7 linked regions of the Macaca fascicularis genome follow. The protein of the gene in region 3 interacts with the protein of the main gene of each other region in a pairwise test. Links are inferred from orthologs where the notes say so. Each region holds a gene or a part of one and is shown on either strand. Other genes may lie near its edges.

What was found.
Region 1: the proteins of TCL1A (region 3) and CADPS interact in a two-hybrid assay, tested with the Homo sapiens proteins (3 studies listed by BioGRID and IntAct). The two-hybrid records come from large-scale screens. The link is inferred for Macaca fascicularis from reciprocal best matches to the Homo sapiens genes TCL1A and CADPS.
Region 2: the proteins of TCL1A (region 3) and AKT1 interact in binary tests that used the Homo sapiens proteins (3 or more experiments, as listed by UniProt). The link is inferred for Macaca fascicularis from reciprocal best matches to the Homo sapiens genes TCL1A and AKT1.
Region 4: the proteins of TCL1A (region 3) and LSM3 interact in binary tests that used the Homo sapiens proteins (3 or more experiments, as listed by UniProt). The two-hybrid records come from large-scale screens. The link is inferred for Macaca fascicularis from reciprocal best matches to the Homo sapiens genes TCL1A and LSM3.
Region 5: the proteins of TCL1A (region 3) and PRTFDC1 interact in binary tests that used the Homo sapiens proteins (3 or more experiments, as listed by UniProt). The two-hybrid records come from large-scale screens. The link is inferred for Macaca fascicularis from reciprocal best matches to the Homo sapiens genes TCL1A and PRTFDC1.
Region 6: the proteins of TCL1A (region 3) and TTC33 interact in binary tests that used the Homo sapiens proteins (3 or more experiments, as listed by UniProt). The two-hybrid records come from large-scale screens. The link is inferred for Macaca fascicularis from reciprocal best matches to the Homo sapiens genes TCL1A and TTC33.
Region 7: the proteins of TCL1A (region 3) and CARD9 interact in binary tests that used the Homo sapiens proteins (3 or more experiments, as listed by UniProt). The two-hybrid records come from large-scale screens. The link is inferred for Macaca fascicularis from reciprocal best matches to the Homo sapiens genes TCL1A and CARD9.

What each region holds. Positions count from the first base shown.
Region 1 is NC_088376.1:125,862,583-125,866,082, forward strand, and holds part of CADPS (calcium-dependent secretion activator 1), read right to left. Parts: intron 1,873-3,500; coding exon 1,540-1,872; intron 1-1,539.
Region 2 is NC_088381.1:172,986,869-172,990,860, reverse strand, and holds the start of AKT1 (RAC-alpha serine/threonine-protein kinase), read left to right. Parts: upstream 1-1,192; 5' UTR 1,193-1,477; intron 1,478-3,992. UniProt on the Homo sapiens protein: AKT1 is one of 3 closely related serine/threonine-protein kinases (AKT1, AKT2 and AKT3) called the AKT kinase, and which regulate many processes including metabolism, proliferation, cell survival, growth and angiogenesis.
Region 3 is NC_088381.1:163,769,734-163,773,981, forward strand, and holds the start of TCL1A (T-cell leukemia/lymphoma protein 1A), read right to left. Parts: upstream 2,801-4,248; 5' UTR 2,741-2,800; coding exon 2,621-2,740; intron 1,056-2,620; coding exon 885-1,055; intron 473-884; coding exon 425-472; 3' UTR 415-424; intron 1-414. UniProt on the Homo sapiens protein: Enhances the phosphorylation and activation of AKT1, AKT2 and AKT3. Promotes nuclear translocation of AKT1. Enhances cell proliferation, stabilizes mitochondrial membrane potential and promotes cell survival.
Region 4 is NC_088376.1:152,443,168-152,447,095, reverse strand, and holds the start of LSM3 (U6 snRNA-associated Sm-like protein LSm3), read right to left. Parts: upstream 2,801-3,928; 5' UTR 2,760-2,800; coding exon 2,739-2,759; intron 173-2,738; coding exon 62-172; intron 1-61. Other genes in the region: XPC (DNA repair protein complementing XP-C cells), read left to right, coding at 3,049-3,148. UniProt on the Homo sapiens protein: Plays a role in pre-mRNA splicing as component of the U4/U6-U5 tri-snRNP complex that is involved in spliceosome assembly, and as component of the precatalytic spliceosome (spliceosome B complex).
Region 5 is NC_088383.1:25,733,691-25,737,627, reverse strand, and holds the start of PRTFDC1 (phosphoribosyltransferase domain-containing protein 1), read left to right. Parts: upstream 1-1,137; 5' UTR 1,138-1,168; coding exon 1,169-1,216; intron 1,217-2,093; exon of another isoform or gene 2,094-2,150; intron 2,151-3,937. UniProt on the Homo sapiens protein: Has low, barely detectable phosphoribosyltransferase activity (in vitro). Binds GMP, IMP and alpha-D-5-phosphoribosyl 1-pyrophosphate (PRPP). Is not expected to contribute to purine metabolism or GMP salvage.
Region 6 is NC_088380.1:41,051,788-41,055,848, forward strand, and holds the start of TTC33 (tetratricopeptide repeat protein 33), read right to left. Parts: upstream 2,801-4,061; 5' UTR 2,680-2,800; exon of another isoform or gene 2,676-2,679; intron 1-2,675.
Region 7 is NC_088389.1:2,998,080-3,002,037, forward strand, and holds the start of CARD9 (caspase recruitment domain-containing protein 9), read left to right. Parts: upstream 1-1,158; 5' UTR 1,159-1,869; coding exon 1,870-2,221; intron 2,222-2,658; coding exon 2,659-2,796; intron 2,797-2,956; coding exon 2,957-3,261; intron 3,262-3,400; coding exon 3,401-3,580; intron 3,581-3,664; coding exon 3,665-3,808; intron 3,809-3,958. UniProt on the Homo sapiens protein: Adapter protein that plays a key role in innate immune response against fungi by forming signaling complexes downstream of C-type lectin receptors.

The sequences.
Region 1 (3,500 bases), on a different chromosome or scaffold from region 3:
AAATATGATCCTGCCACTGAGATAAGACAAGAAATGGCATAGCAATGGATTCATTCCAATGATGCTGAGGTTTGGGCAAGCACAGAAAATATGCATGATAAGCTGTTGCAATAAGAAGAAAAATTAATCCCTAGAATAATTTTGTACCTAGAAGGTTTAGGAACACTTGACTCTCTCTGTAATTCGGAATCTTGCTTATAATTCAGGTGGATGACTTTTCAATATGGAAGCTATGACACCTTCTTGTGGTGGACATGCTGGTGGAGGTGATAGTGATGGTGGAGGCTGACGCCACCTGCTTATCCCATTCTAAAACTGCTACATGGTGGGATGTAGTTACATTTTAAATAAAAATGATTAAATGTAATTTTATATTGATATTTGAAATTTCAAAATACTTTTTGACCCGTCACAGAAATCTTTCATCTCCAGATTTGTAATCAATGTTTTCAATTAAAGTTGGATGACATGAAAGTAGATACCACCAATATCTTTGAATGTGATGCATGTGTTGTATTATGAAATGCTAAACAGACTCTTACTAAAGCATCCAGAAAATTCTAGGTGATATATCATAGTTGATAAGACCCTACCTACTAGTTAAAATAATTTTCCATTATCCATTTATTAATTCAATAAACATTTACTGAGCATTCACTATGTGTCAAGATTTTATACACTGGGAATATTAGCAAACAAGGCAAAGATGAATCTCTCTGATAATTCTTTGAAGGCGAAGGGCAACATAATTACCAGGAAGGAAGGCCCTTGTTTAAAATGCAGATTCCTGGGCCATGCTCTGAGGCTGCAGAATGAGAATCTCTAGGGCTAGGGGCTGGGAATGTGCATTTTTAAACTGCTCCTAAGAGACACCCAGTAAGAATTCCAGACTGCAAAATAGGCACATAATAAATATTTATTGAATAAATGAATATAATGCTAAGGTTAGGTAGGATATCAAGATACGAGATACCTCGCTTTCCCGGTCCTCTATCTAGAGGAAATACAGGCCCATTTTGGGGTGGACCCAAGCAGAGCCTCAGCTCTCACTATCAGAACCACTCAGAAATTCATGATGTGACTAATATACAGGTATTAGGCCTTGTGCAAATTTCCCATTTTAAAAAATTTCTCTTGACAGGCAGGTGCTAAGTTCAGTTGTCTTCCCACCTGAGGAAGCACAAGCCCTTCCACTGGCAAACACCAAAGGCAGAACCATATTTTTTTAAAAATTGATTTTTAGCACTTTTGACACATGGAAACCAGACCTTACTCATAGGGCCAACTTACCCATTAGACACAATGAGCTCAGTGCCTAGGGCCCCTGAGACTTTTAGGAGCTCACAGAATTTTTTTTTTTTTTTTTTTTTTTACGAAGAAGAAAAGCATGAATATAATGTAGCCTAAATTGTATTCAACTTTTTACCAGTAGAGTAATAACTTTTAATCCATTTAAAAAAAAATCAAGAAGCATCTCATAGAAGTCGGAATGCAGCTCTGCTTACCCACAGCTCTGGGCCCAGGGGAGAAACGCCTTACCTGGCAGGCATTGTACAGGAGCTGATGTTCGAACTTCTTGATCCCAAGAATGTTCTGGAACATCTCATAGAGTTGCTCCTTGCTCAGAATCAGCTCGGAGGCTGCGCTGGCTGTCATCCGGGCCTGCTGCTTCCGGGGGTCCTCTTCTCCACGGTAGATGGCATCAAATTTGGCCATCCAGGAGCTCAGCACAGTCTCCTTGCTGAGGCCATCAATCTCGGGCAGGCTGCGCACCCTCTTCTCAATGTGCTTCTTGAAGACCTCCCGGGAGTCGTTGGCAGAACAGCCTCCACTCTGCACCATGCGGGCCACACGGTCGCTCTTCAGGAACACCTAAGCAAGAACAGGGACAGGAAAGACAGTAAGAGAGTTGGCCACAGAGGGACCAGTTTCCTGGGGCTGGACACTGGGCCAGCCCACCTCACGTGCATCCCAGGAGGAACCACTGTGGGTCTCGTCTTGCCCTACCACCTCCTGGCTGTGCAAACTCAAACTAGTTACTTACACATTCTGCTTCTGTGTCCACATCTGTAAGATAAGAATAACACTTGTACCTACCAGGTTGTTGCAAGGGTTAAATGAGATGATACTATCATGAGAGGCAGCACATAGCACAGAGACCTCTGCCCAGGCTGCATAGGTCTTGCCCCTTAGTGGCTGTGTGACTTTGGGCAAGTTAACCTCTTTGTACCTCAGTGTTCTCATTTATAAAATGGGGATAATAGTATTTATTTAATGTTCAATTTCCTTTTGAGACAGTCTTGCTCTGTCACCTAGGCTGGAGTACAGTGACATAATCACAGCTCACTGCAACCTCCGCCTCCCAGGCTTAAGTGACCTCCAGCCTCAGCCTTATGATTAGCTGGGACTACAGGTGCATGCCAGCACATCTGGCTAATTTTATTTTATTTTATTTTTGTATTTTTGGTAGAGTCAGGGTTTCACCATGTTGCCCAGGTTGGTCTCAAACTTCTGGGCTCAAGCAACCCATCCACCTCGGCCTCCAAAAGTGCTGGGATTACAGGCGTGAATCAATGCACCCAGCATTTAATTTTTTATTTTAAATAGAGGCAGGACTTTGCTCTGTTATCTAAGTCAGACTTCAGTGGTGATCATGATGCACTGCAACCTCAAACTCCTGGGCTCAAGCCATCCTCCTGCTTCAGCCTCCAAGTAGCTGGGACTATAAGTGTGTGCCAGTATGCCTTGACAATTTTTAAAACTTTTTGTAGAAACAGGGTCTTGCTGTGTTGGCCAGGCCAGTATGTATTTTTAAATGAGGATTAAATGTGTTAACATGTAAAACACACACAAAATAGTGCCTGGCCCATATTACACTTGTTGCTGTTATTATTATTATATGTAAATGCCTGGCATGATATCTGGCACATAGCGTTAAACATTAACCACTATTTGTATCTCCTTTTATCCCTTCAATGACACTTTTAATTGGAAGTATACAAGTATCAGGTAAACATATATTTAATTATCTATCTTCCTTCCTTAAATGTAAACTCTACTTGGGCAAGGAATGTGTCCTTGTTCCTTGCAATGTCTTCAGGTCCTAGAATGTCTTCAGCAGTTGACACTTTAAAAGTGAATTAAGGGTGAACATAGGTATTATGTTAAGTTTATTTTGTAGATGAAAAACCGAGACTTCAGAGAGGGGAAGGGACTTTCCTTTGGTAACTCAAATTGTCTAACTACCAATGGATAGTCTTTTTACTTCACCGTGGTTACCTTCCTTCCCGCAGAGTTCTCCTGCTTAATGAAAACCTCTTCCGCCTGGTGGAAAATCCCTGGTTGGTCTGCTGGTGCTGCCTGGTTGAGTCCTGGGACCAAGCTTTCTATTAAGAATGTCTTACTTTCGCTCCACTGCCCACCATTCGGAAGCTTACATGAGCTACACGGTTCTGGGGTGTAATACAAGGCAGTGAAGCCGCCATTTCATATTCACGGAG
Region 2 (3,992 bases), about 9.2 Mb from region 3:
GCAGGAATGGGGAGTCCCCTGCCTGAGGAGCCAGTGCCCCCATGCAGCGGGAGAGAGTCCTTCTCTTGGTCAGCCCCAAGAGGCAGGGATGAAGCCCCAGTTTTGGCTGCAGACTCTGTCCTGAGCACTGGGCCGAACCTGCTGCCTCTGTCTACATCTCCTCCCACCCCCTCCCCTGCTGCCAGCTGAAGTCACTCAGGCTGAAAATAAAAATGCTCCCCCCACCCCAATACTTAGCCTCAGGAAGGTTAACTCACAAGAGTCCCTCTTTCACAAAAGGGTTATTATCAACTGTGGGCCTCTGGAATGGGGGAGGGGCAGTTGTTGGAGGAACTTCTGGCTGGGAAGGGGTCGGGGTGGCAGTCACCTGCATCGTCCTGTGAGTGTGCAGGAGAAGGGGGTCTGTGTCCCATTCACTCACTCCATACCGGGGCCATCTGCCTCCCAGTGGACTTCGGACTGGGTGTCGGGGCTGACCAAGTCCACCCAGCAGGGAGGGTCCTGGGCTCTCAGCTGTCACAGCCCACCCTAGACACCGCTCCTCCTCTGTCTGGTGTCTGCTCCCAGCTCGAGGTGGGACCCAGGCAAGGTGTGCCCCTCTTCTCCCACTCCCCAGCAAAGTCTCCCTTTTGTGAGTGTAGCTGCCAGTACCTAGGTGAATGGTTGAGTCCCCTCGGAGCCTTCCCGCTCCTTGGAGGCACACCTCCAACTGACCTCCGCACTTCCCCCAGAGGCACAAGGTCCTGGGATTGGGCCTTTTAGGACACTCTTGGCCGTCCCTCCACGCCCCCCAGAGTGGGGCAGTGCATAGGTGGGGCACGGCCTGAAAGTCAACCTAACCCACCCCCGCCCCGCGCAGTGGAGGCAGAAGTCCGGGATTCGTCCCTGACCGGTCTCGGGCCTGGTCTAGTAGGGTCAGGGCAGAGCGAGTCCAGAAGCGCCGGGTCACTTTACAGATGGGGAAACTGAGGCCAGAGAAGGCGTGGCCCCGGGACGGGCTGGCTGGTGGCCGGGCTCCGTTAGCGGCCCAGCCCAGGCCCTAGGCCGCCGGGGGCCGCCCCTCAGCCCAGCCGCGCGCTTCCCGGGCGCGCTCCGCCCTCGCCGCGGGCCCGGGCGGCCGCGCGGTGGGGACGCCCCGGGCGGCGGAGGCGGATGTGGGCGGGCGGCTCCGGGCGCGGGGCGGGCGCGGGGCGGGGAGAGGGCGGGCCGGCGGCGGCGGCAGGACCGAGCGCGGCAGGCGGCCGGCCCAGCGCAGCCAGCGCGGCCCGAAGGACGGGAGCAGGCGGCCAAGCACCGAGCGTCGGGCACCGGGCACCGAGCGGCAGCAGCACGCGAGGCCCGGCCCCGAGCAGCGCCCCTGCCCGCCGCGGCCTCCAGCCCGGCCCCGCCCAGCGCCGGCCCGCGGGGATGCGGAGCGGCGGGCGCCGGAGGCCGCGGCCCGGCTAGGCCCGCGCTCGCGCTCGGACGCGGCGGCCCGGTGAGTCCCCGCCCGCCGCGGCCGCCCGGGCCCGGATTTCCTCCCCGCGGGCCGGGCCGCTTTGTTCCCGGCCGGTCGGGCCGGGGCGCGAGCCGCGGCGCCGCCAGAATGGAGGAGCGGGAGCAGGAAGTGGCCGAGCGGGCCTGGGCGGGGAGGGCGCGGGGCGCGCGGGCCCGGCCAAGGGAGGGCGGCCCCACGCCGGGCGCCAGGGGTGCAGGCTGCCGGCCCCAGCCTCCCTCATGACCTTGGGGAGGCCGCTCCACCCGGCGAGGCCGGGGCCCGGGAGAAGGGGCGCTGCCGGGCCTGGGGCTGGGGCTTGGGGTGCCCCTGCGGGCCGTGGGGCTCCCCGGGCGTTGGGCCAGCGAGACAGCCGGCGGAGGTGCCCCGGGGTTAGGAGAAAGGCTCGCCGCGGCCGGCCTTCAAGTTTGTGGGAGGGCCCCGGAAGGAGACTTCATTTCCCACGGACAAAAAGTTGTACGTGGTGGCGGGGTACCCAGGCTAGCCACAAAGGACTGACCCTCCTGGGCCCCGGAACTGCTTCCTGTCTTGGGTGGGCCCTGGAGGTCCTGCCTGCTCGTCCCAGAGGCCGAGGCTTAGAGGGCAGCTGGGGCTTGCCCCTTAGATTGAGTATCCTGGGGCGCTAGCGAGCCTTGGTCCTGTCGGGACGGCCCCTGAGTGCTGCTGTGGTAAGCGGGGTTGGCTTGGGCCCCTGCTCTGTAGCCAGAGGCCGCCCCACATTCACTCCTGGGTCTCTTGGCCTTGCTCCAGGTGGCCACTTCTTGACTGCTTTGAGTCCCTCATCCAAGCAAAGGGCGGAGTGCATTGGTGGAGGCCCGGTTCCCTCTCCCCGGAGCTGTATAGACTTATCATACACCAGGGTTCTGGAGGCAGATGGAGGAACCCTTTCGAAACACAGAGTATTTTTTTTTTTTAAGTTGTGACTTAAATAATAACAGTAGCAAGAATATGTGCTTATGGTAAAGGCAGGTGGCAGGTACGGAGGCTGTGGGAAGTTGGGGTCCCTCCGCCTCCACAGGCAGCCCTGTACTGGCCTGGTGTATACGTTTCTGTGCAGACGTACACCACCCTGTGTGTGCACAGATGTATTTTTACACATGGCTCTGGACAGCTGTCTGACTCTGTCAGCAGCAGGCCTTGGAGGGGCGCAGGCCCTGGTGGGGGGTGGGGGGACATCCAGAGGTCTTTGAGTCCAGCCCTCTGCCTCCAGGCCACGCCCACTCTGTCGTCAGAGCCCCCTGTGCCTGAGGCGTGCGCGGCTGGGAGCCCTGCCCTCCTCAGGTCTGGCCTGCTTTCCATCCTGCTGAGTACTTGGGGCATTTCCCTCTTTGAGCAAGGTGTAGTCTTCCCTGTCCTGGCATTAGACACGAGGCAGTGGGCCTTCCTGCCATTCTAAATGTAGCTTAAGACAGTCAGTGCAAAGCACCCCTCTGTGGGTGTCCAGCCCAGGCCTCAGGAGGCCAGAAAGGTTGCCTGGCGGGAGAGCATCTTGGCTGACTGTGGAAAGACCCATGTTGGGGTCCATTCCACAGAGGTCGTCAGGTATCTCTGCCTGGCCTGGAGGTCCCAGAGAGGACCCTCCTCCCCTCAGGAAGGCCCGTCTGGAAGGGTAGCAGAGGACTGCTCACAGGAAGAGCATGCCAAGTGCTCTTTCTCGGGATGCCAGGGGTTGGTGATGTGGGAACTGGGTTTTGAGGGATGCCTAGGAGTTCATCTATCAGAGGGGAAATGAGGAAGCCATGCAGGATCAATGGATAAAGTGTGCTCAGGTGAGGGCTGGCTGGTGGGCCACTGCAGGGTAGGGGCCTGTCCAGTGCTCCCCCACTTACTTGCTGCCTCCCAACTGCTGTAATTATGGGTCTGTAACCACCCTGGACTGGGTGCTCCTCACTGACCGACTTGTCTGAACCTCTCTTTGTCTCCAGCGCCCAGCACTGGGCCTGGCAAAGCCAGAGACGCCTGGTACACGTTGGCCAAATGAATGAACCAGATTCAGACCGGCAGGGGCGCTGTGGTTTAGGAGGGGCCTGGGGTTTCTCCCAGGAGGTTTTTGGGCTCGCCCTGGAGGGCTCTGGGCTGCCGTTTGCGCCAGTGGCCTGCATCCTGGTCCAGTCTTCTTCATGTTTGAATTTCTTTGCTTTCCTAGTCTGGGGAGCAGGGAGGAGCCCTGTTCCCTGTCCCAGGATCCATGGGTAGGAACACCATGGACAGGGAGAGCAAACGGGGCCATCTGTCACCAGGGGCTTAGGGAAGGCAGAGCCAGCCTAGGTCAAATAAGTCTCAAAGGGACTGCCTGGAGGAGGCAGCCTGTCAGCTGGTGCATCAGGTTAGGCAGGCTGGGAAGGCCTTTTGGGGATGGGGATGATTTGTCCAAAGGCTCAGGGAGGTGGGAATGGGGAGGTGAGCAAGGCAGCAGCTCTCAGGGCCAGGTTGTTGAGGGGAGTGGTGGCAGGGGCTGGGGACTCAGCCTAGAATGAGGAGAGGCCCAGGTCCAGGG
Region 3 (4,248 bases):
GCGTGGTGTTGGGCACCTGTAGTCCCAGCTACTTGGAAGGCTGAGGCGGGAGAATGGTATGAACCCAGGAGGCAGAGCTTACAGTGAGCTGAGATTGCACCTCTGTACTCTAGCCTGGGCGACAGAGCGAGACTCAAAACAAAAAAAAACAAAAGGCAATGGGAACTGAAGTACTCGCTGAAACGTGAAGTTGTGAAGTACTGTGTAGATATGAGCAGCTGCGATAAAGGGGGCTCCCAAAGTGGTAAGGGAGAGACATGGGTGCCTCCAGGAAGACTCTCCCATCCCTGGGAGGCCTGAGATGGCAGCAGTCGGGGAGGGGTTAGCACTGCCTTCATGGAGAACGGGTGGTCTTTCCTTCTGGTACAGCCACTGTGGACTAAGAGGGGTCAAGCCCTGGTCAGTGGAGCTCACCGTGCCACACTCAGTCATCTGGCAGCAGCTCGAGAAGCATGTCCTCCACGCCGTCAATCTGAGAGGCAGACAGAGAAGGCATTGATCGGCCAGAGCCCTCCACTCCCTCCATTCCTCACTCCTGCGCCTTCCCCTAGCTGGAAACAGCAGGTAGGAACCCAAGTGTGAATTTCAGGGGCTCTCGGAGACTGCTCCTCCTCCCACCAGCCTTCAGCCTGTGGCTGCCCACGGGAGATGTCTTCCTGCGGCCAGCTGGGGGGCTGGGAGGAAGGGGAGGTAGGGTTCTGTTAGATACCTCAGAGGATCTATCTTCTCTCTGGGAAAGTCCTTTAGAAATCCTCAGTTGTCCATTCCCCCCAATTTTTGATGCTTTTGGGACTGGGATGGAGGGAAGATAAACCACTAAGGCCAGACACGGAGGAGGGGAAACCCAAGATCACCCGATGGATCCCTGGGAGAAGCACACTCACCTTGATGTGGTACACTAAGCGCCAGAAACTGGAGTCTGAGGATCGGTATCGTCCATCAGGGTAGAGCTGCCACAAGATAGGCAGCAAGCTTGGGCCTATCTGGGTGGGGGTCATAGGATTCCCCAGGATGATGTCTTCCTGACGAAAGAGCACCCGTAACCTATCCTCTATCTGAGGAGAAGAAGAGCACAGGGCATACTTTCAGGTTCCGCTTGCCAGGGCTCCTCCAGGCACAGAAAACCAGAGTCCTTCCTGCCAGCCACCCACCCATCTGGGCAGGGGTCCGAGTATGAAATGACGGTCATCACTGTTCCCTGAAGCTCACTTCCTTAGGCCATGCATGCTCCTCTCAGGGACTCTGGCTGGGCCAGGATCACCAGCACGCACATGTGTCTAGCCACCCAGACAGGGCCATGAAAGGCACACTTTTTTTCTGGCGGGTTGCAGTGGCTCACACTTGTAATTCCTGTGCTTCGGAAGGCCGAGGCAGGAGGATCGCTTGAGGCCAGGAGTTTAAGATCAGCCTGAGTGACGGAGCGAGACCCTGTCTCTACGGAAAAAAAAAAAAAAAAAAAAAGACAAAGAAAGAAGAAAGAAAAAGAATACTGGCCTTTTCAATGATGTGAGGCAAAATCTGTCCCACAGTTTGCTAGCGGGTTTTTGTGTGGCATTTATCATGATTATATGAAAAATTGTCTGGTTTATGATTCTGGTGTCACGTTGAAGAGATTTCTCAACCAGAGATTTAAAAAAAGAAATTCACCGAATATTCAGATTATTTCTTCAAATTTTGATTTTAAAAAAGTAAATGTTTAACTTGATTATTAAAGTAAAAACATATTTAAAAAATTGAAGTGCCAATAAAAATGCAAATTTTGGTGGTGGTTAACAGCCTAGAATTCCAACCCCATTACCTACTAGCAGCCCTACCTTGGACAAATGTACATTTTTGTGCCTCAGTTTCTCATCTGTAGAGACACAGTTAACGCTCAATAATTTTTGATTGTTTGCTACTGGACATACATGTTCTAATTTGTTTTAATTTTTTATGCTTTCTTCAGTCTATGTTTGGAAAGAGTTTGAACATTTTTTGACTCTTTTTCATCGAGTAAATCCAAATACTTGTAAAAGAGTTATATATTTGTTTAACAAAAACTTAACATGGACTAAGGACCCATCTTAAGGCATCACACATAAAACAAAGTCAATATTGATTCAATACCGGCGCTTATACTACGACATCACTTGTTAAATTTGTTTTCTAAATAAAGCACAGAGGTCATGGAAAATACTTCACACTCTAGGGCAGTGGTTGCTATGCCTGGTTGACGTGTTCTTTTGAGCTGTTGAGGGTTCTTTTTAAAATACAGATTTCTGGGACCCACCTAAGATGATTCCGATAATCGGCCGTATGGATGAGTCACTTAGAGATACCCATTTTTAAGGATTAGGACCCCGAAGCCCAGAAAAGCCCTGCTGTAGTCAACATTATAGTCACACTCCACAGGCACTGGGTCCCCTCCTTTGGCCGACATTTCTTTGCGGTTTTCCCACCCTTTTTCCCTGCCTGGAGAACTCCTATTCATCCTCCAGAGCCCGGCTCAAAGTGGCTTCATCTGTGGGGATCCTCCCTGCCCCACAGTGGGTGCTTCTCAAGGCCTCACCCTTCCTAGGGCATCTCAAACTCCCGGGGGCTGCCCCTGCTGCCTCGCCATCCGCTCCAGAGCTGGCTGTACCTCAATGGTTAAGGGCAGCCAGGCGCGCTGCTTCTCGTCCAAATATACGAACTTGTCCCAGGCCCACAGGCGGTCCGGGTGGTCGGTGACTTCCTCCCCACGTAACGGGCACTCGGCCATGGCACCCTCGGGCCGCCTAAGAAGCAAGAGCCAGAGCCTCTCCAGGCTGCTCGCTGGTCCCTGGGATATGGGGCCGACGCTTTATATCCGGGCAGCATGCGGCCGCCACCAAGCGGCGGGGCGGGAGGACGGCCTTGGGGCGGGACCCTGGGTCGGGAGGACGACCTTGGGGCGGGGCGTAAGGCAGGATGGGGCGGGGTTTGTGGAGGTCCCGGTGGCAAGTGAGGGTCCCACGCAGGCGCTACGTCCCGGCCTGACTGGCTCCCTGGAACGGTGGCAGCGCCTGGGAACGGAGACCCAGCCCTGGCTGACCCGCGGCTTCCTCGAGGCCCCGGCCAGCAGCGACCCCGACCGCCGCCCTCCGCTGCTGCTGGAGAGTCACCCGGGGTGACCTTGGCCCTTTCTTCTTCTGGGAGACCCCGCCGCTTCCCTCGGCTGCCGGACCGGGACTATGGGCCTCTGCTGGGAACTCACAGTCGACACTAGGATGCCCAGAGCCGGGACCCAGTCCTCATCTTCTGGGATCAGAAGAGACCCACGCGGGCCTGAGTTAGGCCTGGGCTTTCCCGGGTTCCCTGGATCTCCTCCAGCTTGTGCCTTTGAGTGTCAGGGTCCATTTCTTGGCAAAGAACAACTCCTGACGCTCCGTCTTCCATACACAAAGCATGCGTTTTCCGCAGGTCTGATGATGCTGTGGACATCTAATAGCTATTACAAAACGGAGAAACATGGGTTTTTCCCCTTGGGCTTTGAATTTACTAGTGAAAGCATAGTTCAAAATGAATACTTAAAAAGAAACCCCTCCTTCCACCCTAAGATCAATGGATTTGAAAAGTCCTTGGTTTATATTATCAAAACCATCCCTCTGTAAATTACAAGCAATAAGGAAAACAATTTCACTTTATTTTGCAGTAACACATTCCCACTAAGGCAATTAAGAAAGTCATGCACAATGAAAAACATGTGAAACCAGCTCCAACCTGGTTCAAACATCACCATGGAACGGAGTTTGGTGTCTCACCTTCTAGCTCTTTCCTGGTTCTCTGACCAGGCACTAAGAAAATAATCTGTGATCCTTTGAAATATCACAAAAGTGGAAATTAAGAGATCTGATGAGGACATCTGATTCACTTGACAGCTGGATATCTGCCTCTTTGCCTATCCAGACAGCCTAATTCCCAAGAAAGAGCTGAGGTGGCCTAAGGTAGTCGAGATATAACGGGATTTACCAGGAATACAACATAGAAGAGAAAAGTCAAGGGCAGTTGGGGGTGGAGCGAGAGCCCTTAAGCTCAGCAAACCTCTTTTCCACTGTAGCCCTTAGTAGTGTTAATACTTAATATGCAAACTTATAGGTTTCACGCTGATTTTCCTGTGAATGGCTCTTGACTTCAGACCCAGATAGCCACAGAGCATGATGAAAAGCTCGCTAATAAGCTCTGTTGCAGAGGTCTCAGCCCAGGCCAGAGCTTTGAGGTGAGAAATAACAAGTCCAGTTTAAATAGTGC
Region 4 (3,928 bases), on a different chromosome or scaffold from region 3:
TTTCAAGGGAGTGGGGGTGGGAAGGAATCTGATTTCAAGGTAACTTGATAAATTTACTCACATGTAATCTGCCTCGAAGCTCTCGGTCATTTCTCATCTTCACATAAATTCGCTCATCTAGGCTGAGCCTGATAAGATCCAGGGGCTCCTCTACAGTGTTGGTAGTTTGTTGCTGATAACAGAAACAGGTTTAGTAATATAGTACTAGAGATAAAGTAGTGCTTAAATCACTGCTATGCTGTATGACCATGTGCAAGTTATTTAACCTTTTTCTGCCTCAGTCTCCTAATCTGTAAAATGGAGATAATAGTGTCTACCTAATACTGTTTTTATGAGGCTTAAGTGACATATATGAAGGCTTAGAACAGAACTTTTCACATAGTATGTGCTATATAAATGTAGATTAAAACACGCATACATAAGAAGGAGTTACACAGCAAAATAATCATGACTATACTTTGTTCCCTCAAAATCCAAACTGCCTGACCCGATTTCAGGGTATAGGGTCTTAGGAACTTTAGCTTTATCTCAAATATTATGTAATCATAGGAAAAACACTCACTTAATGCCTACCATATACTAGTCAGAATGCCAAGTAGAGGTGTAGGTTTATGGGAAGATTATGAATTCAGCACAGGTTGAGGTTAGGCTGCCAACTGGCCAGTAAGATGAATATTTAGTAGCCAGAATAGAACACTGGTTCAAAGCACTGGCTTAGCCGGGCATGGTGGCATGCGCCTGTAGTCCCAGCTACTCCGAGGCTGAGGTGGGAGGATTGCCTGAGCCTGGGAGGTGGAGGTTGCAGTGAGCCAAGATGGTGCCAACAAGCAAGCAAGCACTGACTTTGGAGTCAGGCAGTCTGGGTTCAACTCCTGGCTGTGACCTGACACTTATGAACTGAGATTAAAAATCATGCCATCTGTAATTCTCAGATTCTTCATTTGTAATTGAGAAAGCCACAACCTTCCTTCTGGATTCTTATGAGGATGAAACTAGTTAATGCATTTAAAACAGTGCCAGGAAAGCAGAAAATATTAATACTTAGAAACGGTTCCTTTTGGCTGGGCGTGGTGGCTCAGGCCTGAATTCCAGCACTTTGGGAGGCTGAGAAAGGCAGATCACCTGAGGTTAGGAGTTTGAGACCAGCCTGGCCAACATGGTGAACCCCGTCTCTACTAAAAATACAAAAATTAGCCAGGCGTGCTGGCACGTGCCTGTAGTCCCAGCTACTTGGGAGGCTGAGACAGGAGAATCGCTTGAACCAGGAGGCAGAGGTTGCAGTGAACTGAGATCACGCCACTGCACTCCAGCCTGGGCGATAGAGTGAGACTCCATCCAAAAAAAAAAAAGAAAAGAAAAGATTCCTACTAATATTATATTATTAAAGAACTGCTGGAAACACTGGTTTTAGAGGTCAGGGCTAGGATGACTTGGGGTCACCCACATGGAAGGGAGGGTTGCAGCCATTAAAGAGTTAGATGATTCAAGGAGAGCTTCTTTAGTAAGCACACAAGGCCAGTGGAGGAAGGTAACTGAATTCGTAACAGGCGCTAAAGATTCAAAAGGCCCGATGAGAGAAAAAAAAATAACCTAACTCAACTGGTCCCTATGTCCCTCAGTTCAACAGGTGTTTGTTAAAGGATCTGATAACCAACTGTTAGATTACAATGATACAGAAGTCACAATCTCCACCCTCAAGGAGCTCATTCTAATGTGGATAGGCATATGAATAATTATAATACTGTAAGAATATGCACATGACAGAGCTCTACTGCTACCTAAGCCTCTGTCTGGGATGCCCACTTTCTGTTCTTTTTCATCCTGTAGCTTTATACATTGGCTTTTAAAAGAGGCCTCCTCTGATCATCTAACTCATTCACTCAAATATTTGTTGAGTATTTCCAGCACTGTTCTAAACCCCAAGGACAAAAGAATGAACAAAACAAAATGCCTACTGTTATGGCACTTACATTCTAGTCAGGAGAGATACACATTAAACAAAGATGCATACATTTAATATGAAAAAATAACGTTCTATGAAGAAAAATGAGGCAGGGTAAGCAGAGTAGGGGGAGTGCTATTTGGGCAGAAGTCCTCTCTGAGGAGGTGAGATTTCAGTAGAAAGTTTAAGTTGTAGCATGATCTCCAAAGATATTTGAGGAAGAAAAAGACCAGGTGAAAAAGCTTCTAGGACCATCTGTTATTCTGCATACCAGTTCCTTGTTTCCTTCATAGCACATCACAGTTCCTATAAATCTTACATATTTATATTTATCTGTTCTCCTCGCGAATATAAGCTCCAAGTCATGGCAAGGATCACTTATATATCGATGTCAGTGTCCCTGGCTCTTAGAACAGTGTCTAACCATACAAAGCTGATGTTCACTCTCTCTGCTGAATGAGTAAATAATTGTTGTGCTCAGTAATAACAACTCCTAACTTTATTATCTGGCTTTCTATTGGAATCCTGACAGCTCCGTGAGGTAGGCACGCATAATAATTTACAGATTTAAAAAAACAAAGCGAAGAGTGTGATGAATAGTCATCAGGTGGCCTTCTAACGGAAAAGACCTCAGGGCCTGCAGCAAAATTCGGACAGGGGTGTTTACGGAAAGGATGGGGCGGATTAGGCCGTGTGACTTGGAAAGAAGAGGCGCGACTGGCCATTTTTCCTGCGTTTGGAAAAAGCAGTTTAGTACAAGAAGCGGCGCCGAGCCACCGCCTTAAAATTCACTCACCTGGTCTACGTCGTCCGCCATGTTTCAAACCCTGCGCCCTTTCCCGCCTCTCGCGAGAACACAAGAGCAACGCCGAGCTCCGGAAACGTGATGCTACAATACACCGGAAATAGAAACCTGCTGTGCTCTTGCCTGCTTCCCGCGGTTTTTTAGTGGCCACGGGTATGGGGCGGAGCTTCCTTTGGGGGCGTGACTAGGCCTCCAACGAAGGGGCGCGGCCAGACGCGCCCGCCTCGGGGCGGGGCCTGCGTTCTAACGCATCGCGGCCTGGTGCGTCACTCGCGAAGTGGATTTTTCCCCGACAAGCAATATGGCTCGGAAGCGCGCGGCCGGCGGGGAGCCGCGGGGACGCGAAACGCGCAGCCAGAAGTCCAAGGCCAAGAGCAAGACCCGGCGTGAGGAGGAGGAGGGTGAGAGCGTGGCCCAGCGGGCTTCGCGGGAGACTCTGCCGGTGGGCGGAGGAGGCCCAGAGGCAGGGGCGGCGGGAGTCCAGACGCGGAGGCCGGGTGGAGGTTGCTGCGCGCGTTCCGCGCAGTGGGGGCAGCACGGCAGGCCGCGGCCGGCCCTCCCCGCTGTCCCTGCGCCTTTGTCCTCTGCACCCAGAGCGGCTTCCCGTGAGCCTCGCCCGACCCAAGCTCCTGCGTAGCTTCTTTCCCGCTCCCCGTTGTCCAGAGGATACAGCGCAGATGTTCAGGGTTGAACGCGGAGAAGGCAGTTATTTGTGTCCCAGGAAAACGGACGGACGGACCAGGACGTAGAGTGATGCAGTGTGCTGACTCCCGAATGATAACTTCAGCTGAGTCTCGCCCAGAGTTCCACAGTGGGATCCCACCTGACTTCCCCTCGTGGATATTGGATAGGCTTCTTACATTTGTCGTGGACAGTGCAGAGCTCATGGTCTTCCCCTTCAAATCTATGGTTTCCTCCGTTTTTCCAGTCCCAATACTTGTTATAAAACAAAGTCCACCTTTTTCTTATGTGCACACATCCAGTCCCGTCAGCAAGTCCAGTCAGTTCAGCCTCAGACTGTATTTCAAATTTGTCCACTTCTCTTCATTTCCATGGCCACAACCCCTGTCCAAGTCACCATCACCTTTCAGTTGAGTGACTGCAGTTTCCTCTTGACTGGCCTCCCAGCTCTGCATCCAGCAACGCAAATAATCTTTAAAAAAAAAAAAAAAATCATGCCA
Region 5 (3,937 bases), on a different chromosome or scaffold from region 3:
TCTCCCCTCTGTGTGCCAGAATCCGAAGATGAACAAAAGAGGCCTGCATCAGGAAAACTGTGTTCAGTTCTCTTGGATTCAGGCCTTCAACCCGAATTGGGTTGAGTGAATGAAGATGCTGATGAGATGTCAGGGACCTGGGGACTGAAGACACACCCAGAAAAAGCAGGACCCTGCAGGAGTGGACAAAGAACTGGAGCACAGGGATGTGAGAGGGGTTGAAATGAACAACAGACTCATACGAGAAGGATTTCTAATCAGAAGAGAGTGACTGCTTTAATAAAGCTGCAACCTGGAACAATTACAATCTGACCAGATGTTCTTGCAAAACTGGTAAAGCAGAGAATGTGAAAAAATCTCTCCCCCTCCTCCCCTGAATGCAGTTGACCAAAGGCTGAAAGGCCGGATCCTGAAAGCCCAGATCTGATCCCTGCAGATCTGGGCCACCCTAAAAGCAATCGGGTGTAATCTTTCCAGCTCCAGGCCCTGGGATGAGGGAGATGGGGGGAAGGCAGAGAAAGGCGGAGGAAGGTGGAGGGAGGTGAGAGGAGGTGGAGGGAAGTGAGGGGAAGTGGAGGGAGGTGAGGGGAGGTGGAGAGAGGTGGGTGGCGGCTCCAGGGTTTGAAAACACATCCAGGACACTTGCCCATCCTCCAAGAGCACGCCGGCTCGCAGGCTCTTTCACGCTTCTGCTTGGGACAATCGCGTGCATGAAATCTGGCAGGGAAGAGCCAAGGAGATTGTTAGCCCGAGGGCTAGGACGGTGGATCTGGGAAGCAGGGGCCTGGGGGACACGTTCTCTTCCTGCCGCGGGCTGCCTCGTGCTCCCGAGTCCCCGCGGGGCCTGGCGGCGAGGCCGGGGGCTGCAGGCGACCATCCGGCAGGCGGCGGCGGCGACAGCGGTGGCCGCGAGGGACGCGCCCGGGGCCCGCGCTCACGGGGAGCGGTCGCGGCTTGGCAGCTGCTCCCCGCGCCCCCGCGGCCTCGCCAGGGGAGGGGGCGCCGCGCCGGGGCCCTGGATCCGCGCCAGGCCGCTGCTTCCAGCCGGCGGGCCCGGGGCGGGGCGGGGCGGCCGGGTCCCCATCCCCAAGTCCCTTCCCCCACGCAACCTTCGCCCTCCCAGCTCCTTCCCGCGCCGTCTTCCCTTCCCGCGTTCCCCGGGAGAAACATGGCCGGGAGCAGCGAGGAGGCGCCAGACTACGGGCGAGGCGTCGTGGTAAATGCAAACTCCCGATTTTGGGGCTCGCCCCGCTCCCCTCCCTCCCTGGCACCCTGCTTGTAGATTAAATGCCTGCCGTGCGTCGGGAGAGAAAGCGGGCCACCGCTTTGTTCTCCCTCCTGGCGGGGATCGCTTCCATCCTCAGACCCTGGCCTCCTCTCCCCGCCCCCAATCTGAGGAAACGCCGAGTCCCGTCCCTTCACCCCGAGTTCCCAGCGTCCCCCCGCGTCCTCCGGCCGGTAGCCCGCTCCTGCAGCGTCCCGCCGGCGCCCAGCCGTCCCCATCCCAGCGAGCCACGGGGAGCAGCTTCTGGGAGCCGGCCGGGCCGAGACACCCGCGTGCTGCTCTGTAGGCCTCCTTCTTCCTGGGCCTCCTCTTCCAGAGCGGGCTTCAAGTTTTGTTTTTAAAAAGGACACTGAGGGGTTTTGAAGGCAGCCAGGAAATAAAGTAGCTCAAGTTGACAGAGCTTGAGCTCTGAAGCCTTTGGTACCCAGGTTGGGGGGCTCTCTGGCAGTGGAGGCCTCTGCAGGAGCTCTGGGACACGCTCCTGCGGGACCTATGGTTTGTCTGTAAAAGGGAGCAACAGCAGGCTGGGCTCCGGAGCGAATTGGGAGGATGCATGTAAAATATCTAGCAGTGTGTCCGGATGGGAGGGTGTGGGATGCTGGTTTCCCAGAACTGAGCCTCCTGGCGGTGTCAGCCAGAGGGTCAGTGTGCTAGGATCTAATCCGTTCTTGACCTTGTGGCCGCGTCCTCCCTGCTCCCTGAGAAGTGGTTTTCCTAGAAGGTGGTGGTTATAACTTGTGTCAAGTTCAATGTGAAACTCAATGGTGGTGAGGATGGTGGGTGGAGCTAACTTGCCATCTCTTTCCAGGGATCAGCTTGTCGTTCACAGATAATCTGTTTATGAATATGAATGGCCTGAACTAAAGTAAGTGGGCTGGGGAGGGAAACGTGACACACTCAGACAGAACCAGTCAGGTTGAAATGTGGGGCTCAGTGCTTAATTTAACAGCAGGCCCTTTCCTTCTTAAAGGATGAGGAGTTGATTTATTTATTCATTCCACAAGTTGATTGTCCTGCTGGGTTGCAGAAGGTGTTGTAGGCGCTGGGGTGCAAAAGACAAAGGCCTTGTCTTCATGAGCTTGCGTTCTAGAGAAGACACAGGCAAGCAGTGTGTAAACAAATAGAGAAAATTTCCAGTAGAGATGTGCAATAGGAGGAGGGTAACAGGATAGAGGGTAATTGGAGGAGAAGCGGGGAGTGATGCTTTTGCTCAGGTGGTCAGGGCAGCCTCTCCGCGGTGACCTTTGAGCTAAGATCTGAAGGGTACACAGGAGTAGACATGTGGACTGCAGGCGGAGACCCGCATATCAAATGCAAAAGAATCATTGTATCCGATTTATGCTTTTACAAAAACCATTCCAGTTGCCCCAGGAGGAGGGGCAAGCCTAGCGGTGTGATGGATGGGAGGGAGACTAAAACGCAAAAAGGGCAATCACTAAGTTCATTGTGGACAAATTGAGTCTGCAGTGCCTGTAAGGCCCACAGATCGGGCTGCACTGTAGGCAATTTGTGAAATTCACATTTGGAATTCAGGAGAGCGATTGGAGAGATTTGGAAATCAGCAGAAAGAATAATATTTAATGTTCAGGAATGCTCAGTGAATGTGGAAAAAACAATTAAAGCAACTGTTAAGGATGGAAGCCTGGAAAGTCCCAAATGTAGGAGGCTGCCTGTGGGGGAGAAGCCGGTTGAAGGAACCGAGAAAGAACGCTGAAGGGTGGGAGGGCAGGCAGGGTGGTGGGTGCCTTGGGAACAGAGCATTGTTGAGCGGGAGGGGCGGTGTCAAGAGGTCATCAGAAGTGTCAGATGCTACAGGGACAGCAAGTTGGATACCAAGATGGAAAACAGCCACTGTATTTAACAATTACAAAGTCATTAGTAGGGAGAATCTTTTAAACAACCACTCCATTGGTAGAACAGTTAAAATATAGTACAAGTTGAGCATCCCTAATCCAAAAATCCAAAATCCAAAATGCCCCCAAATCTGACACTTTCTGTGCGCCAACATGATGCTGAAAGGAAATACTGGCTGGAGCATTTTGGATTTCGGATTTTCAGATTAGGGATGCTCAACCAGGAAGTAAATGCAAATATTCCAAAATCCAAAGAAAAAAAAAAAACATCAGTAATTAGAAACACATCTGGTCCCAAGCATTTTGGGTGAGGCGTACTCAACTTGTACTACCATAACATACTAGATACTTTTAGAAAAGAATAAGGTGGATCTAGATGCACTGATAGAGTAGGTAAATTGTTGAAGTCTAAGAAACAAGTGAGAGAACATTGTAAATAGCCCAGTCTATTGGTGTCAACAGAGGTCCTCCTGGAAGCAAGGTAATTTTTTGAAAAATGCAAAGAGGTAGTGAGAGGGGTATAAAGAGAATAGAGGGCCAGGTGAGGTGGCTCATACCTGTAATCCCAGCACTTTGGAAGGCCGAGGTGGGTAGATCACCTGAGGTCAGGAGTTCAATAAAATCCTGACCAACATTGTGAAACCTAGCTGCTACTAAAAATACAAAATTAGCTGGGCATGGTAGTACATGCCTGTAACCACAGCTACTCGGGAGGCTGAAGCAGGAGAATTGCCTGAATCCGGGAGGTGGAGGTTGCAGCAAGCTGAGACTGTACCATTGCACTCCAGCCTGGGCAACA
Region 6 (4,061 bases), on a different chromosome or scaffold from region 3:
GGTGGATCACCTGAGGTCAGGAGTTCAAGACAAGCCTGGCTAACATGGTAAAACCCCGTCTCTACTAAAATACAAAAAGTAGCTGGGCATGGTGGTGCATGCCTGTAATCCCAGCTACTTGGGAGGCTGAGGCAGGAGAATCACTTGAACTTGGGAGGTAGAAGTTGCAGTGAGCCAAGATTGTGCCATTGCACGCCAGCCTGGGCAACACGAGCAAAACTCCATTTCAAAAAAAAAAAAGAAATAAAGAAATATACAGGCTGATATAGGTGAACCACAAGCTTTCCACAGGAACTGAGATTTTTTTTTTAAACCTGGAGGACTAATGGATTATAAATTATGCTGGGGAATAAGGACAATGCGAACTCTCTCCCCAGACTGATCATAATATAGGAGAATGAGTTTCCCATGTTTGAAGATGATTATAAGTATCACAGGGGAAGATGGCTGAAAACGGGAAGTGTGGATATTATGGAACAGAAGTTGAAAGGCACACAGTGAGGACAACCTGAGAAAATACAGATCATTAGGAAAGACTCACAAGATATCAGTGTAAGACAAGATTAAAAAAAAGTCTTGTATTTATGATTATCCCTAATGGTAACAAGAATGATGACCACGTTTTCCGGTTTCAAGTTTCCAAATGAAACTTTCTTTATTCATAATGTGAGGCACCAGGCACTGTGGGAACCCTACTAATACTAAAGGAAACCTAGTGTGTTTACTGGAGGCAAATTACAATAAAAATCATTGATCAAAGGAAAAAAAAAAATCATTGATCAGATCTGTAGATTATATGAGGGGCTGTGATAGGGTCGGAAGGAAAGGAAAAAGTGAGATACAGACCTACAGATTTTTTTAAATTCATAGGTCATTCAGACTCCGATTACCCTCCCCATCTTCCAACCCAAACCACTGTTACAAATGCTGGGGACAAGCACAGGTTAAGGCCCAAGGTGGTGGTTCTCAACCATATGTGAAAAAGCCATGCACACTGTTGCCTCAGGTGTTTGAGTCATTCTCCTCCACAGATCCCTTGAGACCTTCTAGAGATCAGAGGCTGCAGAGGCCAGGACAGAATGAGGTAATGAGGGTGTGGGAGGCCTGATGCCACTAGCAATCGACAAGTTTAACCTGAAAGAGGGAGACAAAAATACATTCCTCTCAGACAAAAAGAAGAGTTAATATTGAGTGAAACATACAGGCAAGTTCAGGGATGGAGGGAAAGGAAAATGAGGAATTTCATGCCCTAAGCTTCACATTTCTCCAGCAAACAGCGGCTAGTCATCTGCTCAAAGTAAAAGGAAAATAACATATCTGAGTTCTTGAGAAAAACGGAAAAGATCTAAAATAGTTACTGCGGAGATAAGGAAAAGCAACAAAGGATAAATAGAGATACCAAACAGTAGTATCAAGGGCCCACTACGGTGTAAAAGCATGAATCTGTTATCAAGGCCATTAGCGAAGTTTTATATTTTCTTCAAAAGTGTCTGGAAACCACAGAGTACAGTCAATTTCAATACACGGTAAGCGCTACAAGAGAGTAAACAAAGGATGCCATGACATCAGAGAAGGGACACTTGAGGCTTTCTGGAGGACTTAAGCTTTGAAGTAAACTTAGCCAGGCTTAAAAAGGTGTGTGAATCCTAGAACATGCAAAGCACTTTCTGCACTGGAAAATTTAACACTCCCAGTTGTTTCAGATATCTTAAGCCGTACGAGTTTATTGTTCCTCTGTGACTATCTGAACATGAAATGAAAACTTCTTATGAAGGAGGGTTTCCTAAGTCTAGTTAGAAGCCCGAGGTGCCAACATCCTAGACTTAACATTTTTTTACCAGAATAAGAAACCATGTGGGTAAACCACAATCACACCGGTTTCATGTTCATGTTAAACTCATGAAACCAGACAAATTCAACCTTTTATACAGCATTATATTTCAGGAATGGCATAACAACTCTAAACAACGACGCTGTATTCTAAATTCCTGTACTGTTACAATGATCCCTATAGTAGGCGCTCAATATCTGTTGACGGCTTGACATTTACCCAGCTGCCAGAGAGGGCTTGTCTTGACTGTCTGAGGATGCAGCACCCAAAGGGAAAAACCACTACATGAACAAGATCAGGAAATCACAACAGCAACCTTCTGGGTAGAAGGAGGTATTCAGAGGTGAGGAATCCAAGAAACGATTTACCAAAAAACGCCACCGCAAGAGAAAAACCAGTATTAGCGACTTTCCCTTCATTGGTCAACAATAATAAAAATGCTCAGAAAGGCTGCCCCGGACGTCACCTGCGCGTGCACGGACCGCCCCGGGCCGCAGACACCTCTCCAGCGGGGAGCGGCCGGCTCGACCCGCCCCTCCCACCGCGCAGCGAACGTTGCGGCCGCGCAGCCTGGCGAAGGTGCCACTGCGGGCCCGACCCCTAGACTCGCTTGTCCCTGGAGACCAACCCAAGCGAACAGGCTCTACCGGATTCCGTCGGGTTTCTACTCCTACTCCGAAGGTCCTTTCTGCCCCAATCACAGCACCCACTCGCCTCGTTTTCCTCCTCTTCTTCAGCTTCCACCGCCGACCGGGCAACCCCAGTTACCTGATAACACCTCCCAAGGCCCCGTGTTTACATTCTGGCCCACTGGAAGCAGAAATTATCACGCCCAAATTCCTACCTGCCTGCCCTGGATCCCTGGTTTCCTAAGAAACGGGTTTGGCCCACCCCGGGGCGTTCGAACAGTCCACAGAAGCAGGCAAAGGAAAGACGACTCTGTCTTTCTCCTCCGCCAATCCCTTCTCCGAGACCACAAATCCCAGAAGTCACCGCGGCCGCCCCCACCGCATGACCTTCTGGGATTTGTAGTAATCAGGGCCACGCGGCTGGGCGCGCCCTCTGACAGCAGCACCGAATGACCGCAGCGCAGGAGCGCGGGAAAATGAGGCTGCGCGGGGTGAGGAGCGCACCAGGAGGAGCCACCCCAGCGGTACCGCGCAGCGTCGCGTCCAGTCAGTGGGGAATAAGGTGAGGGGAAAACGATTTTACGTGATTCAAAGGATTAGGATATGCTCCTGCCTAATAGCCTAGCTGATGAGATCGGCCAGACGCAGAGAACAGCGAGGCAAAACTCGGTTATAAAGGGCTCGAGGCGGCGGGGCGGGGAAGCTGGTCAGGGAGGCTCCAGGCTGAACTGCAGCCTTCACGTGAAAGTTACAATGAGTTGGACTCGGAAGGCAGTATTACGGCCTGAACGTAGCTGTGCGTCATGTCTTGAAAATAAACGAGCACGGCCGGGCGCGGTGGCTCAAGCCTGTAATCCCAGCACTTTGGGAGGCCGAGACGGGCGGATCACGAGGTCAGGAGTTCGAGACCATCCTGGCTAACACGGTGAAACCCCGTCTCTACTAAAAAATACAAAAACCTAGCCGGGCGAGGTGGCGGGCGCCTGTAGTACCGGCTACTCGGGAGGCTGAGGCAGGAGAATGGCGTAAAAACCCGGGAGGCAGAGCTTGCAGTGAGCTGAGATCCGGCCACTGCACTCCAGCCTGGGCGACAGAGCGAGACTCCGTCTCAAAAAAAAAAAAAAAAAAAAAAAGAAAAGAAAATAAACGAGCACATGTAACAAAGGTAATCAAGATTGTTAATTTATACACTCGTTTTTGGAAGTCATGCTTTCTCGGCCTCAGCGCCATTAACATTTCAAACTGGATAATGCTTTGTTGGGGGACGGGGTGTCCTGTGCATTGTAGGGTACTTAGCAGCATCTCTGGTCTCTCCACGGGATGCCACCACTGGTCAGTTGTGACAGCCAATGGTTTCCCCAGACAGTGAAATTTTCCCTGGAAGAAAAACCACCCCTCCCACCCTGCCCCATTGAGAACCATTGATGTCGACCAACATTGTCCTGAGGGTCACCGACACTCTTTCAAAGCCAAAATTATTTTCATACTAATATGAAGACGTGATTTGCCCTTTGCACAATGCTGACGTTTGCACTCATGGTGGAAAAGCAACGGCAGGTCAAGGTGCTGGCGCCTCCGCAGGAATTACAGTAATGACACCA
Region 7 (3,958 bases), on a different chromosome or scaffold from region 3:
CAGCCCTTTCATGACCAAGGCGTGTGCTGGGCATGCTGTGTGGCTGTGTGCCCCCCTGCACATGCCCTGCCCCGCTGTCCTGAGATGCCGGCGAGGGCAAGGGTGTCCGCACAGGGCAGAGCATGCCCTCCTGAAGAAGCCTCCAGAAACCTATGACCAGGTCAAAGCGGCTGGGTGCGGTCTGGCCTCGTCCAGCCTCCTGGGGGTCTCTGCTGTCTCTTCTACTTGCCAGGTGCCCGGGCTGGGCCTCTGGGGCATTCTCAGGACCCCTGGCCCCCGGCCAGGCTGGGAGGGCTGAGAGCAGTTTTCCCGTGGAGGGCAGAGGACTTCCACTTCCGTCTGCCTCTCGGGGCCTCCTGGGCTGCACGAATCAGAAGGCAGGCCACCAGGGACTGTCCCCCTGTGGGAGGACTGGCGGGACTGTGGAGTTAAGCCATCAGGAAGTGCACAGGCGTCCGGCACGCTCCTCCCTCCCTGCAGCCCCAGGCAGCATCTCCCCGAGGCTCCACGTCCCAGGCTCCTGGTGCGTCTGCCGTGCAGGTGGCTCCTTGGAAGACCCTCAGGTGGGTGGGTCTGGTACTTTTCTGAAAAGTGACCAAGAAGGTCGGCGCCGGCTTCGTTCAGAATCCTGGCGCTGATCCCCGCAGAGCAGCATGAGGCTTCCCACAGGCAGCCAGGCAGCCTCCGCCGCGCTGCCCCATCCCTTTCATGGCCACTGGGCGGAGACATGTTCATTTCAGTGGCATTACGGTGGCAGATGGGACCCTGCATTTCAGGCTGGGGAGGCAGGAAAGGGGCCCAGTGTTCCCAGGACTGTCCGCTGTGTGGCCGGTGTTTCTATTCAGCCCCTTGTCTGTCAAAACTGTCCTGAATGGGGTGACAAAGTACAGTGGGAAGTTGAGAAATTCTTCAAAAGACCAAGACCAAACACTTCAAAAGACCAAGTGTCTCCAGGAGTAGTGACCCAGCTCCTTTAGGCAGGAAACCAGCATTTCCCAGTGGGGCTGGAGGCTGAGGACCGGGGACCTGCGTGGGAGGCAGGACCATGTGGCTGTTCCCAGCCTTGCCCCAGTCCCAGAGGGAGTGGCTTTCAGCGGCTGAGGCTTCCACCGCGCTGGCAGAAAGGGACAGCAGTGGCTGGTCCCAACATGGGTAGTTCTCTTGTTTCAGCCAGTGGGATGGGGGTCGGGCCTCATCGGGGGCAGGAGAAGAGTCCAGAGATTGACGGGTGCCCGTCACCTAAGAACCTGGAGAAAACAGCACAGCAGCACTCCTGGCCAGCCAAGGGCAACACCGACAGCCCCTCCCAGCTTGCGGGGCCGGCGGGGAGTGACAGAGGCACGCTCCTGTGGGCAGCTCTTCCCGGCCGGTGCAGCGACCCTGGCAGCTGGGGCAGGGCTGGGTGGCCACTCTTGCATCATCAACAGCCGGCCATGGAGGAGGGAGGGCACAGCGCGGGATGTGAGCAGGCGTCGGTCAGGGGAATGGGGAAGTTCCGCCAGAACCGGCTCCCCCAGCTGCTGCCCTAGTGGGAGGGTCATTGGCCAACCTGCTCTCACCCAGCTTGGGCTGGCCGTAGTGCCAGGCAGGTGCCCACAGCTGCCCACCCGTGGAGGTGGCTGCCCCTGTAGGCTCCAGGGCGTGGTGGGAGTGTCCAGGAGGCGGAGGCCAGAGGCGAGTCATGCCGTGGAGGCCGTTCCTCTCTCAGACCCCATCTGTGTCTCCCCCGCTGCATATCTGGGTGACACGGATGGCCAAGGGGCAGGAGCAGGGGCTGGGAAAGGCTGTGGAGGGGCCCTCGGCTGGTCTGGCGGGGAGCGGGTCACTGTCTCTGCCGCCTCCCTGGGGGATCCAGCATGGGGATGGGACATGGAGCCGGGTACCTCTCCTGGATGCCCCTGGGCTGACCCCCTCGACAGCCCTGACGAGAGCCCAGGCCCAGCGTCTGAGAAGGAGCGGGAGCCGGGCCTGGGTGGGGGCAGGAGCCGGCGTCACTCTCAGCGGCTGCCCCACACCCCCCAGCCTGCCTGCGAGGCCATGTCGGACTACGAGAACGACGATGAGTGCTGGAGCGTCCTGGAGGGCTTCCGGGTGATGCTCACGTCGGTCATCGACCCCTCGCGCATCACGCCCTACCTGCGGCAGTGCAAGGTCCTGAACCCCGACGATGAGGAGCAGGTGCTCAGTGACCCCAACTTGGTCATCCGCAAACGGAAAGTGGGTCAGTGCTGCCCCGCAGGCCCCAGGCCCCAAACCCAACCAAGGAGCCCGCTTGGAGGTGGCTGCACGCTCTGCCACCCTGACCCTCGACCCCAGGAGAGCCCCGCCTGGCTTTGCCCCTGGCGTCCCAGTGAGGCCCAACCTCAACCCTGGCACATGGCCACCCTATCCCCCAGCCTCTCCTGCCAGCTCGGTGCTGCCAAGAGGGGCAGTGGGACTCCCACCACAACGGGGGCTCCTGAGACAGCCAAGGGATGGGTGGACAGCACTTTGTCCCCAGCCTAGTACCAAGACCCACAGGGTGCCTCATCCACGACCCAAACCACAGCACACCTCATCTACATCCCAGCCTCCATCTGTCCCTGCCCCCGGGCCCACCCACCCCAGCCCTCTGCCTCGCCTGTGCCCCGCCCCCAGTTAGGCCCCTCTGGCCCGCAGGCGTGCTCTTGGACATCCTGCAGCGGACCGGCCACAAGGGCTACGTGGCCTTCCTCGAGAGCCTGGAACTCTATTACCCACAGCTGTACAAGAAGGTCACGGGCAAGGAGCCGGCCCGTGTCTTCTCCATGATCATCGGTGAGTGACGGGGAAGGCGGTGGTGGGGGCGGGCAGTGGTGCTGGGTCCTCTGCCCAGGCCCCATCCCTAGGAGCCCTGAGCTCCTGCCACAGCGCAGGGCGTGATAGAGCTGGGCCACCGGGGAACACAGGCACCGTCTAACGCTGGCGCGGCCCACAGACGCGTCCGGGGAGTCAGGCCTGACTCAGCTGCTGATGACCGAGGTCATGAAGCTGCAGAAGAAGGTGCAGGACCTGACCGCGCTGCTGAGCTCCAAGGATGACTTCATCAAGGAGCTGCGGGTGAAGGACAGCCTGCTGCGCAAGCACCAGGAGCGGGTGCAGAGGCTCAAGGAGGAGTGCGAGGCCGGCAGCCGTGAGCTCAAGCGCTGCAAGGAGGAGAACTACGACCTGGCCATGCGCCTGGCACGCCAGAGCGAGGAGAAGGGTGCCGCGCTCATGCGGAACCGTGACCTGCAGCTGGAGGTGCGCCCACTGCCCCCGGGGAACCAGGCCCCCCTTGCCTGGCCTGGTGGGGTCTGCAGGCTGGGGCGGTCGGGGGTGGCCCCGTGGGTCCGTTGTCACCACCTGGAGGGGACAGCCGGGCTCACCGGACCTTCCGCAGATTGACCGGCTCAAGCACAGCCTCATGAAGGCCGAGGACGACTGCAAGGTGGAGCGCAAGCACACGCTGAAGCTGAGGCACGCCATGGAGCAGAGGCCCAGCCAGGAGCTGCTGTGGGAGCTGCAGCAGCAGAAGGCCCTGCTCCAGGCCCGGGTGCAGGAGCTGGAGGCCTCCGTCCAGGTGGGGCCGCAGGCAGGGCGGGTGCAGCCCGGGCAGGACAGCCGGGGCCTTCCCAGCCAGGCCATTGCCTTTTGCCCCCTTCAGGAGGGGAAGCTGGACAGGAGCAGCCCCTACATCCAGGTACTGGAAGAGGACTGGCGGCAGGCACTGCGGGACCACCAGGAGCAGGCCAACACCATCTTCTCCCTGCGCAAGGACCTCCGCCAGGGCGAGGCCCGACGCCTCCGGGTAGGAGGGCAGGCAGGGCGACGCAGCTCCTGGGGGCCAAGCCACGCTGGGTGGGCTGAGCTCCGCCCACTCCGTGCCTGGAAGGTGGGGCCTGGGGACTCCTATGGCCTCCCCCCACATCCCAACTGGCCTGACCACATGCTCCTGAGC